4 linked regions of the Cricetulus griseus genome follow. The protein of the gene in region 3 binds, or shares a complex with, the protein of the main gene of each other region. Links are inferred from orthologs where the notes say so. Each region holds a gene or a part of one and is shown on either strand. Other genes may lie near its edges.

The links. The genes of interacting proteins can lie anywhere in the genome.
Region 1: the proteins of serine palmitoyltransferase small subunit A (region 3) and Ormdl3 are in contact, whole or in part, in a cryo-EM structure (PDB 7CQI), measured with the Homo sapiens proteins. The link is inferred for Cricetulus griseus from reciprocal best matches to the Homo sapiens genes SPTSSA and ORMDL3. Residues at the interface, in NP_612145.2 of Homo sapiens: Ile44, Tyr50, Thr51, Val54, Phe55; in NP_001307730.1 of Homo sapiens: Val36, Leu38, Ser39, Ile40, Pro41, Phe42, Ser44.
Region 2: serine palmitoyltransferase small subunit A (region 3) and Sptlc1 share a complex: the UniProt entries of both Homo sapiens proteins name them as parts of the serine palmitoyltransferase (SPT) complex. The link is inferred for Cricetulus griseus from reciprocal best matches to the Homo sapiens genes SPTSSA and SPTLC1.
Region 4: serine palmitoyltransferase small subunit A (region 3) and Sptlc3 share a complex: the UniProt entries of both Homo sapiens proteins name them as parts of the serine palmitoyltransferase (SPT) complex. The link is inferred for Cricetulus griseus from reciprocal best matches to the Homo sapiens genes SPTSSA and SPTLC3.

The regions. Positions count from the first base shown.
Region 1 is NC_048600.1:111,720,983-111,725,169, reverse strand, and holds the start of Ormdl3 (ORM1-like protein 3), read left to right. Parts: upstream 1-1,387; 5' UTR 1,388-1,643; intron 1,644-4,187. UniProt on the Homo sapiens protein: Plays an essential role in the homeostatic regulation of sphingolipid de novo biosynthesis by modulating the activity of the serine palmitoyltransferase (SPT) in response to ceramide levels.
Region 2 is NC_048596.1:272,312,263-272,316,205, reverse strand, and holds the start of Sptlc1 (serine palmitoyltransferase 1), read left to right. Parts: upstream 1-1,143; 5' UTR 1,144-1,149; coding exon 1,150-1,206; intron 1,207-2,936; coding exon 2,937-3,044; intron 3,045-3,683; coding exon 3,684-3,778; intron 3,779-3,943. UniProt on the Homo sapiens protein: Component of the serine palmitoyltransferase multisubunit enzyme (SPT) that catalyzes the initial and rate-limiting step in sphingolipid biosynthesis by condensing L-serine and activated acyl-CoA (most commonly palmitoyl-CoA) to form long-chain bases.
Region 3 is NC_048598.1:147,641,315-147,645,599, forward strand, and holds the start of serine palmitoyltransferase small subunit A, read left to right. Parts: upstream 1-1,485; 5' UTR 1,486-1,564; coding exon 1,565-1,676; intron 1,677-4,285. UniProt on the Homo sapiens protein: Component of the serine palmitoyltransferase multisubunit enzyme (SPT) that catalyzes the initial and rate-limiting step in sphingolipid biosynthesis by condensing L-serine and activated acyl-CoA (most commonly palmitoyl-CoA) to form long-chain bases.
Region 4 is NC_048599.1:39,315,079-39,319,161, reverse strand, and holds the start of Sptlc3 (serine palmitoyltransferase 3), read left to right. Parts: upstream 1-1,283; coding exon 1,284-1,400; intron 1,401-4,083. UniProt on the Homo sapiens protein: Component of the serine palmitoyltransferase multisubunit enzyme (SPT) that catalyzes the initial and rate-limiting step in sphingolipid biosynthesis by condensing L-serine and activated acyl-CoA (most commonly palmitoyl-CoA) to form long-chain bases.

The DNA of each region.
Region 1 (4,187 bases), on a different chromosome or scaffold from region 3:
TGTTTTGACTCTAATGCTGAGCAGGTCTCTGTGAGGCTTTTTCAGCAGCTAGGATCATTTCTTAGATGTCAGGATCTAAAGGGCCTCTGACTCTGGGAACACTTGAGAAGCTGCCTAATTCTGCTTTGCGAAGGTCAAATGTACACTCACAACTTGCTCCCAGGGCTACCACTTCAGCCTTGAGACAACTATTTCCTGGTAGCTCCCAGAGGATGGGTGGGTCTAAGGAAAAAGCTCTCCAGGTAGTTGGGCAGGCCTTCTCCTTCCTGTCTCTGCACGCTCGGTTCATCGTGCATTTACAGCCTGCCGGTTGACATCTATTAACATCGGATCCTGTCATTCCAGCCGTGCCAGGACTTAAGGGCACGGGACTTAGAAGATGGGCGGGGAAGTGGAAACAACCGAAAGGAGGCCTTCTTGTTGACACGGACAGTGGGAGTGGCCCAGAAGAGCTTAAGACCTATTTAGTTCAGTTCCTACAATGTAATAGGTGCTTTATATTACATTCTTTTGAAACATCAAAACACCCTTGGAGGTAGGTTTTCACAGCTGTGGAATTGAGATTAATACGAGTCATTTGCTCAGGATTACACTGCCAATAAAGGCATACCTGCACTATATGTACTTAGCAGTAAAATCTGTGCCCTTCTCTTTGGAGCTTCAAGACATGAAAGTTGTATACCAGAGGCACATTACCAAAAGCCACACACGCTAACCCGAGACACAGACTCAAAGCTCCTTACTGTTCGTAAGGACTTTTCCTATGACACACATCCCAGATGAAACCCGACGCGGGGAGATCCAGGATGCGGCCAGACCCACGCCAGCAAGGATTAAATGTAGCGACCAGGTGTACCAATGATGCCCATAGCCTCCCGTCTCTACAGACAAGTACCCCAACCAAGGTTCTGAAAATGTGATCCCTAGTGGAGACAGGTGGGAGGGGCTCCATCAGGACAAAGGGCTGTGCTTCTCGGCTTCTAGAGTCTGCGACGTTTAGTGGAAAAAAAAACTCTGCACTTGTGGTCAGACTATCTCAGCAGGGTCTTATTGCAAGTTACTTAAAACTCTGAGTCTCTTGGTCTAAAAAAAACGAGAGCTTGGGCAAACCGCTTGTGCATGTCTTAAAGGGCGCAGATGCAAAAGCTGGGATTGTTACGCACCAAAGAGACTTCACCTGATCTCACTATTGCGTCAGGGAGAGAGACGTTCTGCCGTGCGTGCTCAGAAGCTCGCAGCGAGCTGGGAGAGGTAGCCCAGGGGAAAGCCTACAACTCCCAGGAGGCTCCGGGAGGGCGGGTGACGAGGCAGCGTAGAAACTACACTTCCCAAGAGGCACAACGTGTTTAGGCGCGTGGCAGTGACGTCACGAGGCCCGGCTCAGGGAGCTGATTCGGCCAGAGCTGCCAGCGGGGTGGCTACCGCCGCTGGTTTGTTACAGCTGCTGGAGTGGCCGCGGCCCGGGTTCTCGGGCTCCTCTCCCGGGCCCTCGACCTCCGGCCCCGCGCGGTGGGTCCTTACGGTCGGCCTCGGAGTGGTGAAGCCCGAAGGCTCCAGGGGTAGGAGAGGCGCGAGAGAAGGCTGCTGCTGAGGAGGCGTCCGCGCAGGAGGAGACCTGAGCTGAGTGGCTGGGGGTGGAGAGAGTGAGTGCATCAGGCGAAGGAGCGCCAAGGAAAGTGGGAGCAGGAGGCCGGGGGTGGGGTGTCCGGGAGGAGCGCTTCAGCTGGGGGTGGGAGGAGGGAACGGCTGGACTTGGAGGGATAAAGGGTTTGCTGCCTCCCGGGCTGAGTGAATGCTTGGAGATGGGGGTTGGGCCCCGAACCCGGCCAGATTCCTAGTGCGAGGTACCAACCAGGCTGCGGAGCAGAGCGGGAGACCCCATGGAAGGAGTTTCCTCGCTCCTGATTAGTGGGGCTTCGCTTTCTTTCCACCCCTCCTCTCTACTGAGTCCTGGAGTCTGGACCAGCGAGCACAACCATGGTCCTGCAGTTGAGGGTGGGCCGAGTGAAGAGACCGACGTGTTGTGTGTACTGCATGAATTCTCTGTTGGGACCCCTTGGGAACAAGTTTGCTGTGTAAAGGGCCAGCCTTAAGCCGGGGAGGGAATGGAAAGTGCTTACCGGATGGCTAGAGTGTTTGACAGCCTGGCTGGGCCTGGACGGGACAGGGAAAAGATCTATAGCAAAAAAGTGGTTCACAGAAGAGAGTTGCTTCGGGCTCTGATTTGAAGCAGGTTATGAAACAGCATCAGGATCTGGTGCTGGCAGCCACCTGCCAGCTGTGGCTGCAGAAGTTTTCAGTCTGGCTGCACCAGATCTTTCTGCCAGTCTCGTGTTTCTTCACTTATAGGAGAAAGGTCAATTGTTTACTAATGGAAGTGACATGTTCACATAGCCACAGGAAAGTCTCAGAAGTACTTTCTGGCTCCCAGTCTTTTTGGGAGTGCGTGGTGGGAGAGGCTGCAAGGGGTCTCCTGGTTTCAAGGGCATCTGGCATTCAGGCTTCAGGAAGGCGATTCCCACGGGGTCCACTAGGCTTTGTGAAATGCCCTGTTGAGCCAGAAAAGGGTGAAGGGTCTTGAAATCCTAGGATTCAGACAGACTGTTGGCACTCCTGAACAGAGAGTGAGGGGGTTCTGTCTGGCTTCGGGGAGGAGACAGCAGTTTCTGGTAAAGCAGCTCTTTTTCCTCCCTTGACCATCTTCCAGAGATTTCACATGTCACGTGGACGCTGTTGCACAGCAGCTGTCCCAGGGGCTGTGTTAGGGTAACTGGAGCCCTAAGGTTGGGGGAAGGTAAACAACTGGTTTTCTAGTTCCTTGGGTTTCTGTTGGGACCAATTATCCATCTTAATGGGCCAGGGGTTTGGTCCCAGGAGTGTGACCTCCCTCCACCAGGATGCACACTAGGCCAACTCATGGATCTGTTTGTTGGGCAACTGCTGTGGGTTCTATTTCCCGAGGTATCTGAGAAGAGGAAACTTGCTTCCATTATACTTAAGTAAGGAACTTATCTGAGGGAATTCTGGCTCCTGTGGAGGAGACTTGGCTGGAATCCTAGCTAGGTGAGATAGCATCTGAGTCTGGGGGAGAAGTGGTTGTAGCGGGATGAGGTAGCTGGTCTGGCACCTCCAGACTATATCTGCCATTCCTTTCTGTACATCTTGAAAAAGTGGAGTTGTTAAGCACAGGAATGACCTCGGGGTCTTTAGCAGGCAGGACCCTAAGCTAGGTAGGTAAACCCAGCATACCGATGCCTTCTGTATCCACCTCCTGCTGGTTAGTCAGTGGTCCCTCAGAAATCTGGAGAGAGCCAGGCTCCTGGGAAAAGGGACAGACCATTCTTCTCCCCTGTGGCTACTGCTACCATTGTTTTCTGGGCATCGAGGGCAGCCGTTTTGGTTCCTTATGCTGTAGAGCTTCTACCACTGGAGCTAGACAAGCAAAGGCTGTTGTTAATTCACACCCACAAACATGCTAGGAAGGGAGGTGAGATCAGGTGGAGCCAAGAAGGGAGGAGGTAGGAGGGAGGCCACAGGTAGTTTTGTATCCTTGGGAGGAGTAGGCTGATATGGGTACCACATCCCACCTGTGGGAACTATAGATATTGGCTGTGTGCTCTGATCTGTTCTCTTCTCTCTCTGGTGGGGTAAAGGGCTCTGCTGGTTTGGCGGCCTAATAGTGATGCCCCAAGAGTTTTAGCCTGAGCAGATGCCAAATGGCTAAAATTCCCCAATGGATGGGTCATTTTGTGTCGAAATGTTTGTAGGTCTGAGCAAAGGCCATCCCTGGCCTGCTTTTTTCTCTTCCCCCTTCTCCCTGCCCTGTCAGTTCTCCTGGGGCTGGGCTTGAGGAAATCCAGGATTAGAGAAATAGGGGTGGTGGGAACAGTAGCCCCAAAGTACTTCATCCACTGTTGCCTGTGTCCCCAGTCCTCCCTGCTTTTGCTCCTTTTGGGAGCGGCTTAGAGTAGGGGATGTCTCCTATCAGCTCTCCAGTGAGAGCCAGCAGAGGTTATTCTGAGTGAGAGTTCTGAGAGAGCAGGCCTCTCTCCTCACCCCAGGAGGAAGAGGGCCTCAGGGTACAATAGGGGGTGAGATTGGGGACTGGACATTGATTGCTATCGTCTGGACTGGACACCTCTTGGTGACTTGTCCTCCTAGACTTTGTCAGCACGTAGTCCCAGTGG
Region 2 (3,943 bases), on a different chromosome or scaffold from region 3:
CCTTCCACACAGAAAGCTGAGTGGATGCTGTTAATGTCTGTCTCCTCTCTATCCAGAGGCCGTCCTTTGTCCCTCTGGAACAAATACCCTTCACCTTATCTTCTTACCACCTCATCCTAGCCCATTCTAACACAGACCTCCGTTTTCCTCCTCTTAACAATGACACCTGCAAGGTCATCTGCTGCTGTTTTCTCCTAAGTCAGAAAGCAGCCACTTTAACCTTTCTTCCCCACGTAATAAGGATCTCTGTGGAAAACAAGTGTTTGGGTGTGCGCGGGTTTGGAGGAAGCCCGTCAGAGAGCCCCGGGGGGGGGGGGGGGGTTATTATTATTATTATTATTTTTACTTATTTATTTATTTGCTTTCGTGGGTGCCGGGGATTGAACTCTGTTCCTCTTTCCTGACTGAGCTCTCTCTCCAGCCCTAATTTACTTCTCTTCCCCTTTAAAAATTAAAATAAAATCACTATCCCAATGGTATTTCTGGACAAGTCTCAGGAAATGTAAATTGGTGTGCACATGAAACTTGGCATCTAAATTTTCACAGTAGCTTTTTGACCATACTTCATCATGAGGATAACCACACATACCTACATTATGAAATAGGGCTCCCGACTCGCCCTGAGGAAGAAACTACGTAGATTTCTGTGGGTTGTTTTAATAATGCTGCATGACTGCATTGCTTGTTATTAAAAGGGAAGGGCATATTTCCCTCTTGTTGTTTTAATTGTGTATGTGTGTGTGTATTTTTTGAGACAGGGTCTCACTGTGTCCCTGGCTGGCTTGGTGTTTTACAGGCCATGTGGAGCAGGCTCGCCTGGAACTCTCTGCCTCCCAAATGGGATTAAAGGCCTGCGCCACCTCGCCCGGCCTAATATCATTTATCTTAAAAACCCTGCGCACAGCCGACTGTCAAGAACAAAGGCCACGTACTGATTCTCTCAACAAAAGTCCACGGCGCGACGCCATTCAAATCTCAGGGCTCCGAACCTGCGTCTCCAAGGCCGGGTCCGCGAGCAACCGACTCGCGCGACGAGGCAACGCCCAACTTCCGGCGGCCCCGCCCCCGAGGTTTCGTGACGCCACTAGTCCGCGCCGCGCACTATTTGACGCGTCTGTGACCCGCCTGCCGGAAGCCGGGTGTCTGACCATGGCGATGGCGGCGGAGCAGTGGGTGCTGGTGGAGATGGTGCAGGCGCTGTACGAGGTGCGTCCGTCGCCGGAGCCTCCCGTGAGCCCGCGGCCGGGGCCTAGCGACCTGCGCCCCGGATCCGCGGTGCTTCCCGCCCCCGGGACGGGGGCACGGGGGACGGAGCCTCGGCCGTACTCACGCCGGACTCCGGCGAGCAGCCCTTGGGAGGGGTGCTGAGGACACGCGAGTCCTCGCAACCACGGCTGGAACTGATGGCGAGACCGGGTTTGTGGGCGTGGGCGGCCTCAGATGTGGGGGGATGCCTTTTTCATAAACTGTAAACTTTGCCCGGTCGGGGGAGAGTGGTTCAGAGAAGCAGAATCATTGGGAATTTATGAAAACGGACCAGCCGTTCTTCTGCCCACAATTTCTGTGTTATACGCATAACGTCTTGAAGGATGTTTTAAAGAATACTTGAAGGGTTAGGGTGGCTTCGTTCAGCTGTGTAAGAAAATAGGAATTACGGGTGCCAGCCCTGGGAGAATGCTGGCTTATTGAATAACTGAGCTTCCCTGCTATGTCCTCTAGAACTGGTGTGTCTTCTGCCTCAGGGGCTCTTCAGCACAGCAGTCACTAACGCCACGTGAAAGTAGGCACTGGCAACGAATTTGTAATTGCACTTCAGTGTGAATGTCGGTGGTCACATATGACTAGTGGCTATGTGTTGGACCACACAGACAAAATAGTAGAATAGCCAAGAAACCATCTTACTAAGATGGCTCAACATTTAATAGTACTTACAACTCTTCCAGAGCGTCTGGATTCAATTGCCAGCATCCACATGATGGCTCACAGTCATTTGTAACCTGTTCCGGGGGAATCTTCTGGTCTCTGGGGGGTGCCAGGCACACCTGTGGTAGACAGACATACTTGCAGACAGAATACTTGTACACATGAAAATAAAGTAATAAAAATCATTAAAAATTAAGATATCTTTGTACCTATCAACATGGGACAGGTTGGCATCCTGTGGGTGACACCATAGAAAAGAGAAGGGATTTTCTTTCAGCGTTTATTATTGCCACCTCACCCATACTTAACACTTCCTTGTCTAAGATTTAAGAAGATTTAGCAGGATACACTTCTTGGGGGCTGGAGAGATGGCTCAGAGGTTAAGAGCACTGACTGCTCTTCCAGAGGTCCTGAGTTCAATTCCCAGCAACCACATGGTGGTTCACAACCATCCATTATGAGATCTGGTGCCCTCTTCGGGTGTGCAGATATACATGGAAGCAGAATGTTGTATACATAATAAATAAATAAAATCTTTAAAAAAAAAAGATTTAGCAGGGTATGGAAAATTCAGTAAGGTGCAAAATTTAATTGTGGAAGCTGCTTTCCACATAGTTTTGTTAACTTATCCATGGGCAGTCAAAGGCTATAGAAGTGTGTTTAGGTGTGTGCTGTTATAGTCATTCCCTGCCAATAAAAATGTAAATTATCTGAACAGTGTGATAGAGTTGTTTTTAAGTGTTGGGATTGTGTGTCAGGTCTTACCTCTTTTTCATTTTCATTACTGAAAGGTTTTAAAGCTGAAGTATTAGGGGTTTTTCATGTGATGGAGTAACTGGCAGTTGTTTAGGTGGAGAGGCATGAAGAGTCATTAAGGAAGCCCTGTCAGTAAGGTGTATGTGGGAATAGTGTGGTGGTCAGAGAGGCAGTGCTGTGGTGGGCTGAATGTCCCTGCAGGCTTCCAAGTGACTTCTTTGCTTTCTTTCCTTTGTTTTTGCTTTTCTCCCTTGCAGGCTCCAGCATACCATCTTATTCTGGAGGGGATTCTAATACTTTGGATAATCAGACTGGTTTTCTCTAAAACCTACAAATTGCAAGAGCGTTCTGATCTTACAGCCAAGGTAAAAAATGGCGCTTGTTTTATTCAAGGAATGTGGCAGCTACATCATCTTTCTATAGTGTCCCTGTAGGGCACTAGAACTCATCTCTGCAGGGTATGTTAAAACGTTGAATGTGAAGAGAGCAGGGAGTATGGAATTTCTGAGTAAGCAAGGTTTGAGGAAAGCCACACTGGAGGAGACAGCAACCTGCTAGTAGATGGTTTGAGGGGTGCATGAGCAGCAACTGGATGCCAGTGTCTACACACAGGTTATAGGAGTTGTCCCTGTGGCCTAGAGGAGAGTTCTTCATGTGGTCTTCAGAAAGGGGATTCAGGGTTGGAAACACTCACATCTCAAGTAGAATTTAGATGTGTTATGTGTAGTAAGATGGAAGAAATCCCGGGCATAGAAATAAGATTTTTAAGTTGTCAGGTTACCCAGAAACTACATGGAAAAAAAAAGGTGTGAGCTGTAATAAGGAAAGAGGTGAGGATGGTAAGTACCCAGAACTCAAGAAGGATGGCCTTTGTTCTCCACAACAGCTGGCAGGGGTGTTTCTGTGGCGCATTGTTCATTGTTGCAGCGTTACAGTCAGGCATCACCAGAGATAGTGTGAGATGACTCTGGCTACACCATACTCTGATGTCCTTTCTTCTGTAGGAAAAGGAGGAACTGATTGAAGAGTGGCAGCCAGAACCTCTCGTCCCTCCTGTCTCGAAAAACCATCCTGCTCTCAACTACAACATCGTTTCCGGGTGAGTGGCTTGGCCTTGCTGCGTGAAGTGCTTGACCTGGCTTTAGTTCTGTTGTCAAGCATGTGAAGGATGGTATTCCCTTGCCAATGAAGGCATTTCTTTGAGTAACTGCTGTACTTTTCAATGTGAAACTCTTTCTTCCCCTAACTTGCACTCTGTTGTTCT
Region 3 (4,285 bases):
ATGCAGAGGCCATGGAGGGGTGCTGCTTACTACTTTGTGTCCCATGACTGGCTTAGTCTATCTTCTTATAGAACCTAGGACCACCAGCCCAGAGACGACACCACAGGCAATGTGCTGGACCCTCCCCGGTTGATCACTAATTGAGAAAATGCCTTAAAGCTGGATCTCATGGAAGCATTTCCTCAACTGAGGCTCCTTCCTCTCTGATGACTCTAGCTTGTATCAAGTGGACATACAAAACCATCCAGTACAGTTCCTTAGTCCTGGAATCAAACACTAGACTTTCATGTAGAGGTATTATTTTTCTGTGAAACATCTATCACCCATGTTTCTTCTATTAGTACTTCTCCAGCAGTTAGCTCAAGAACTATTTCCCAGAAACCTTTACCCTTCCAATCTAATACAGAGAACACAGATATCCTTTAATCACACTTCACTGTAGTCTACCTGCCTGCCTTCTCTAGCAGTACTAAGTATTTTATGGATAGATTTAAGTCTATTACTGTTTTTAAGGTCTTTGCTCATAAAGAACACTTGGTATTTTTAAGTTAATAGTTGTCAGACTTCAAAGTTTTAAAGCTTAAAGCAGCAGGCTCAAAACTTTTAAACATGTAAATTGCAGATCATTTAATTATGTCATTTCATATGCAGACAGTGCATGGACTTCCAGAAGAGTGGAATACAACTGGTATTGTTGCTGGTAGAAAAATCTTAGGAGTGCATCTCTAGGAGACAGCTCCCACACTGACCTCAAGCTGTCTGAAGAACCCACTACATTAAGTTCTTAAGTTCACTTCCCTTGATCCTGATCTACTTGGCTGTTTCTTAAGTGCAGCCACCAAAAATGGGCAGCTGTTTATGGTCAGTTCTCTTGTCTTTAGGTTAAGGAGTACTTGGGGGGCGGTTACAAGGCCTAGATAGGTGTGTTTTCATGCATGTGCCTGGGTGAAGAGAAGAACTGATGTACCTGTCACTTTTACAGTTTGCAATACCTCCTTGGCTGGGTGACATTTGGTAACCACGTTCTCTTTGATCCTTCATTTTCTCAGTCCAAGGACACTTTATTTGCATGCCTGACTCCATGGTTGCATTCTTACCCAGCCTTGTAACCCCCTGGCCCAGAGGCAGAAGAGAGATATTCTACACACTTGTTCCTAAAGGAAGAAACCCTTCTGGGCTGGTCTGAAGGAACCTGGTTCGAAAGGGCATGCCCTCGACTGGACACCAGTGGACACCGAAACCGGTCTCGCAACCGCCATGCGGGCGCGTGGGGATGCAGAACAGGCGCTTAAACCCAGACCGTTTCCTCCGGCTGGAGAGCGCACCGGGGGCGAGGCACGGGGCGGGGCGCGAGCACCGAGGTGGCTTCCTGACCAATAAGCGCCGGTCAGGCGGGACCGGCGGTGGCCGCTCGGGGTGCGCGCGGGGCTGGGCGTACACGGTGACGCGCGGAGCCAGCAGGGCCAATGGGCGCAGGGTGGTGGCGGGCGGGCCCCGAGGCCTGGGGCTTTAGGAGGTGAGCGGGCCGCCGGCCGGCCTGACGCTGCTGCATCGCGGGAGGCGCATGGCGGGCATGGGGCTGGCGCGGGCCTGGAAGCAGATGTCCTGGTTCTACTACCAGTACCTGCTGGTCACGGCGCTCTACATGCTGGAACCCTGGGAGCGGACCGTGTTCAGTATCCTGTGTTGCCTGGCCTGGCCGGGGCTTGGAGGGGCACGCGCGCTGGGGGGTGGGGGTGGAGTGGGGCGGGGGTCTTAGGGCCAGGGGAGGTGAAACCGCGGAGATCCGGGTGTAGGGCGCAATTCCCCTGCCCAAGGTGGTGGCATCCTGATTTCTGCAGGCCGTCCGGAGGGCGACGTCTCCCCTGGTGCTTCCTGCCCCGCTTCGGCCGCGCCTGCCTTTTGCTTCAGTCCCCTGGTAGGAGGCAGGGATGATGCTGGTTGAGCAAATCGCTCCAGGCTTGGGCGTCTTTGACCCTTTAGCTATTCCTGATTTGATTGGCTTTGGAGCTACAGAACTCTAACCAGTTCACCAGGTTGTGAGGACGTGGTCGTGACACTCTCATACAGTTTTGGAAAGCAGTTTATAAGTTCCTGGCAGGCCTTTTTGATCTTCAAGATGGCAGTTTAGAAAGTGGGATTTATTTATGATTTCTTTGCATCGTAAATACAAACTGTGCCCGGGACAGATTTGTGGTTAGTTGTAGGTGGGGTTTCAACCTGTGCTTTGTTGTGTAGTTTATAAATAAGAACTGTTGAGTGACGACTTTGCTGAGCATTTCGTGTATACCTTACCTCACCTAATTTTGACAGCCCCAATGAACAGCTCAAGGTTGTGATGTCTGGGATGTTTGTTGGCTCCCAATGTCTATTTTGATATCCTCTGATATTATTCCTGTGGACTAAATACTAACAATGCATTCTTTCTTTCTTCCAGTCCCCTCTCCTTAATAAAATCTGAATTATTTCACATCACGTGTTCATTTCGTCAAGGCTCAGCTTTCTGATGTGGTTTAGCTTCCTTAGGAACAACTTCACACATGCACTGTTGCATTCTGATGACTGAGGTAGCGCTGGCTCTGCCTTTTATCAAGGGTGCCGGTGTTGAAGTAGCATGAAGTTGTTTGGAGCTGACTCTTGAAAAATTTTAGCTGCTTGCAAGACATTTTATTACCATTGGTATTTCTTTTCTAACCTAGAATTTAATAACCAGAATGCATATTTGGGGGTTTGGAATATAAAGTTGCTGATTTTCTGTATTGTGTGTTTTGTAGCTTTAGTTCTGTCTCTGGATTTTGTAGGTCAGGTAAAATGTACATTTAAATACATGTTTTATTGGAGCTTCTCAATAGTAGCAGGTAATCTTGACTGGAAATTAAACAATGTCAAAATAACAATAATGAAAGCCTAATGTGGTGGTTCATAACTGATTGCAACGTTCAAGAGGGTTGCTGGGAGTTCAAGGCAGCCTGGGCTACATAATACATAGCCAAGGACCAGGCAAACCAGGGTTACATAGCAAAACTCAAAGGAAGGAAGGAAGGAAAGAAAGAAAAGAAAGAAAGAAAAGAAAAGAAAATGGGGTAAAGTTTGAAACTCTTTAAGTCAGAGGTTGATGGTAAAGCTTAGTGTGGACATGTATACGTCAAAACATTTGTTGGTTTATGGATAAATACTACAGTGGCAACAATATTAAGATTTTTCTGTGCTATGTTTTAGTAGAAATAGTGTCCTGTTTTGAAGACAGAGAAATTATGAAGGGAAACCTCAGTAGATTTTGGTTTTGGTGTTTTTGACTAATTGGATCTAGCTATGCATCCAAGCTTGTGTTTGGCCAAGCTATGTGGCCAAACTTGCCTCAAACTCAAAGTCATCCTCCTCTCTTAGCCTTTTGAGTGCTGGTATGGTGTGGGCCACCATGTTTGCTGTTGTGTATTTTCTGCTGTTACCTTTGGATTTTCCTTCTGCAGGAATGGATGCTCTTTCCTAGTACCAGGGAGGGCTAACTGGATGAAACAGAATCTTAGTGAACCCTGTCTCCAAAAACAGCAGCTGTAGCAACAGCATCATTATTCGAGATCACATAGTGTAGTGGTCTTCAGACAGTTGGTGTATGTAACCCTTCAAAGGAAAAAAAGGTGGATGATGGATTCCCTTGCTCATTTATGTTGACATAGGAGTCTTGTAGATAGCTAGAAAGAATTTATTTATACATATATTTTAATACTTTTGTTAAAATTGTTTTAACAAAAATTATTTTTTGTTACTTTTTTAACTGTATACTTTTGTTAAAATGATTTTCTTACAATTCATAGAAAATGTTCATTGCATAACTGCAAAACCAGACTGCACGGTGAAGCCAATAGGAAAAAAAAAATCAGCTTTAATTTCTATCAGAAAAAAAAAGCTGCCTTTTTTTTTTTTTCCTTCTGTTCAAATTATTGTGTCCATAGCTAGATGCAGTGGTGCATGCCTGCAGTCCTAGAACTAGGGGAGGTAGCTAACCGCAGGAGCATCAGAACTTCAGGGCTAGCTTCAGCTACATGGTGAGTTTGAAGCTAGCCTTGGCTTCATAAAACCCTGTCCCCCCCAAACCACAAAACCAAACCAACCAAAAAACATTGTGTTAAAATAAACACTCCTGTTTTCCTTTGGGTGAGTAAATAGATGGCTTGGGGTTGTGCCAGATGTCTGTTATCTGAATGAAAGTAAAACCTAAGTTATTATCCCTTCTTTGCTGTGTTAGAGGTTCTATGTGTGGAGTCATGCCCCCTCCTCTCCCCAA
Region 4 (4,083 bases), on a different chromosome or scaffold from region 3:
ATGCCCCTAGCTCTCCAATACTGGGATCACAGGTCTGTGCCACCATAGCCTAGAGTGTTACTCTTAAGGCCTTTAGTTTCAGATAGGATTTTTTTATATCAACAGAGGAAAATCACAAAGGTAAGCTAAGAAATGCTCAACCAGCTGTAAACTATTGGTATTGACCAATAAACCACAATGCCCTTTGATAACAATTGTTGTATTGAGAGAATAATGGATAATGAGTAAGCCAGAGGTATTTGTGGACTAGGACCCTATGGTCAGCATACGCCTCACAACAAAAGAGTCAGTGGCAAAATCAAGTATCATTTCTTACTACTCTACATATGCCAATTCACCAAATACAGTGTCTCATTTTATAGACAGAAGTACTGAGACATAGAGAAGGTGAATGGTTCCTCTAAGGTCATGTGATTAAAAAATGATGCATTATTGGTAAGAATCAGAATGTTCTGTTTTACTGACTTTGTTTGTCTTGAATTTTTTAGTGGTCTGGGACTCTTCATCATTTTGTATGTTATGTTATATAGTGCATATGTTTATATGTGGGTTGTAAATATTGCTGTTGTGATTTTAACATTCACCAGGGCAAATGATAGAATATTGACCATTTGAGACACATTACTTATACAGTTCAGTGACATTATATATACTCATCCTGTTCAATGACCCATGACCACAAGTGTCTCTTCCACCCCAACTAAAACTTTGTACCTGTTAGACAACAACCCCCCCACCACTGTGCCCCTTCCTCCCCTAGCAGTCACTCATGAAAATTATTTTCTGGCACAAAGAAATCTTAAGTTTTAAGCTTAGCTTTCAGTGAAAAAAAATGTAACTATATGTGAAGGGCAGAGGATGCAAGAAGGAGAAAAACTTGTAACCAGCCCTTCAGTACCATGAACTCTATGAGGGTGCTGTAAAAATCTTTAAATGTCTCTCTACCTCTCAGCCTGCCTCCCCAATATTTGTTCCTGGAATTTTCTGTCCCCTGGTTTCCTCTGCTTCCAAGAGCAGCCAACAGAGCAAATTCCTTTGTAGTTTCAGAAGCAGGTTTGTTGCCATGGAACCCACAATGCCACTGGAGTGGACTAGTAAAAGGTAACCACTAAAGATCCAGCCAATAGATAGGCTGTGGTTCTTCTTCTAGAAAAGCCTGACTGGTAGGATTCCTTTAAAGGCTCAACCCCAAAGTGCTTTATGTCATCACTCCAGCTCCTTGAAAACTGAAGCTTCAGGAGATCTCTGAGAGAGAACCTGCTAGGCTGCAGAGCTTCCCACCAATGGCCAGTCTAAGGGGTAGTGTTGTTACTAATGGAACTCTCCACAATCCCAAGACTCAGCACAGCAAATGGCAAAGCACTGACTGTGTGAAAAATGGAATCGCCAAAGAAGCCCAGGTAAGAAGTGGTCTCCTACATCCTTAATCTGTATGACCCAAGTATTTCCATATTTCTTAGCAACACAGTTTAAGGCAATCTTTACTCCAAGTTTCTCTCATGAGATGTTTTATTGTGTTGGCTCTGCACTTCAGCTAATATTCTGTTACATGTGGCTGCTGCAAAGCTTAGATGTGGCTATCAGGGAATTTCTTCTCTAGATAAGAGAAGATGCATACAGAGTCACATTCTCTAAAATACAGACCTTATAAACTTTTCATTTATTCTCAAGCATTTCAGGGGACAAGTTTGTGAAAGATCAAACTCTTGGACCTACCAAATAACTTGCTACACTCATGATGCTTAAGGAGAAAAAAAGAAGTGATCATAAATCTTGCAGAGATCATGTGGTCGATGACACTTGTCCCTGGTGCACATGAAATGCCTTTCTGGTTGAAAAGAACATTTTTGTGTTTAACAGAGCATTGCCATAGCCCACAGCCTGATTAGAGACTGGAGTCTCTGTTTGAAATTTGACCCCTCCGGTATTCCTTTCTAAAACTCACTTCAGGGGGTGTAGTTTAGGGTGTTCTGCACATGGAAAGCAAAGCAGCCTCTTTAAAACAGATTTTCTTTTTATTTCCATTTCATATTTCCCCTCCTTTTTGGCCTGTGCTATTGCAAAATATTTGAGGGGATGTCCCAGGGAAGAGAAAAATCGAGAAAGCATTCAAAGGAGTGTCTCAAATCTGTGAGGTTCTTGAAGGAAAGCAATTATGCATGTCACATAGCATGCCAGGACTCTCCAGTCTAAGTCACATGGTAAGCTAACCTGCCTTGAGGACAAGCTTGAATAGACAGGCAGTCTCACTGTAGGGAAATAGCAAAGCTTTGTGTAGAACCCCACATAAACTTCCCTTGTTCAGTCATCCTAGTGAGCCAGCCTTCGCCTGAGGGAAATGTTAGGTTGTGCCAAGCACCTAGAACAGAGAAGGTTGGCTGTGGTCAGGCCTCCGTGCGGTGAATCATTTGCATGTCCAGTTGGGAGGTACAAGGGGCACTCAGAAGTCTGGCTTGTATGGTAAAATGGTATGGTCCTCTAAATGTATCCATCTCTTACCAAAAGACATTGGAAAATGTCTACCAGAAATCTCAGGCTGGAACAGGAGGAAGAGAAAGGGCATAAGAGAACTCACAGCACTATACCTCATCCATTAAGATCATTGCTAAGATGCCCCTTGTCCTTGAAATACCTGTTTCACTAGCCACTGTTTGCCTCCTAGGTTACTCTGATTCTTGGGTATCTTATTTGACCACAGATGCCTTCAAAACAAGTTTTCCTTTTCTTTACTTATCTTGATTTCATAACTATATTCTAGTGTTTGACATTGAAAGAGTAAATAGATAGGACAGCCATTCCTATGTAAGGGTAGGACCCCACAGGTACTGTAATTATACAAGACCATAACATCCTTTGCCATGGAAACGTCTTTAAGTGCACAGTGTCACTGCTGTGGCCTTTCCCTAGCAACTCTTTCTGCAAAGCCATCCAGATCCTGTCTGCTAAGATATATTTAGATGTTTCTAAGTTGTAATTGGATTCCACTAAGAGCCTCAGTTATGTATTAATAAATATTTTCCTGAAATAATAAACTCTGCTGAGCTCATAACAGACCTAATTTCTCCCTGTAAAGTATGAATAAAGTTGTCTTTACTATAGTGATCCTCAGGCAAAAGTTTTACCTAATGGGCCTCTTAATAAGATAGGCCTTGACTATTGGCAAAATGAATTGCTGAGAGCTTGTAGATGTCTGAGGTCAGTGATCTTTCAAATGGTTTGCTGGGACTTAGGTTTCATGGGACAGTGCCTCAAACCCTACCAACTCCAGTGAAGATCCCTTTAGCTTTCTTCTACTTCTTTGTACTCATACAATACAGTTACCACTCTCACATACTGGCTATTCTGTAATATTCTGTTGGCAAAAGATTTCCCAGCCCAGCAAGCAAAATGTAAACACCTTTATGCAGTAACTTTGGAATGTCATTTACTTTGTTCCAATGTAGATGCTAGTATGTGGGCTCAGTAGCCCAACCTTACAATTGACCAGGAGCCAGAATATTTCCATTTTGGAAATCATCCAGAGTTTCTTTCTGGAGCTTTTCTGATCCTTAATCCGTTTGCCTTCCTTTCCCCTTTAAGCTCCATATGCCCCCAGGATGAACTGAAACAAACGTGGTTTCACCACTGATGAAGTCTGTTCTTTGTTTACCTCTACAATGTGTCCTGTGTTGCTATATCTACTAGAATATTGTTGTCCAAGACCATTGATCCTCCCTCCTCACAAGCATATCTGTGTAAAGGTTGGAGGACTTTTGATGCCCTTAATTTATTTTTATGAACTCTATTCCTAAACAATTGAAAAGTTTTCAAATTTTTCCTTGGCTTCCTTTTGTTACCAATTCTCACCATCAACATGACTGAAGTGGTCCATATTATCCATGCAGAGCCTGAATAATTCGTTATTTTAGCTTTGTCTGTTTGTGGGGCTCCCAGCAGTGGGACTAGGATCCATCCCTGGTAAATGAGCTGGCTTCTTGAAGCCCATTCACTATGGGATGACTTGCTCAGCCTTGATGCAGAGGGGAGAAGCTTGTTTTTGCCTCAACTTGACTTGACAGGCTTTGTTGACTCCCTATGGGAGGC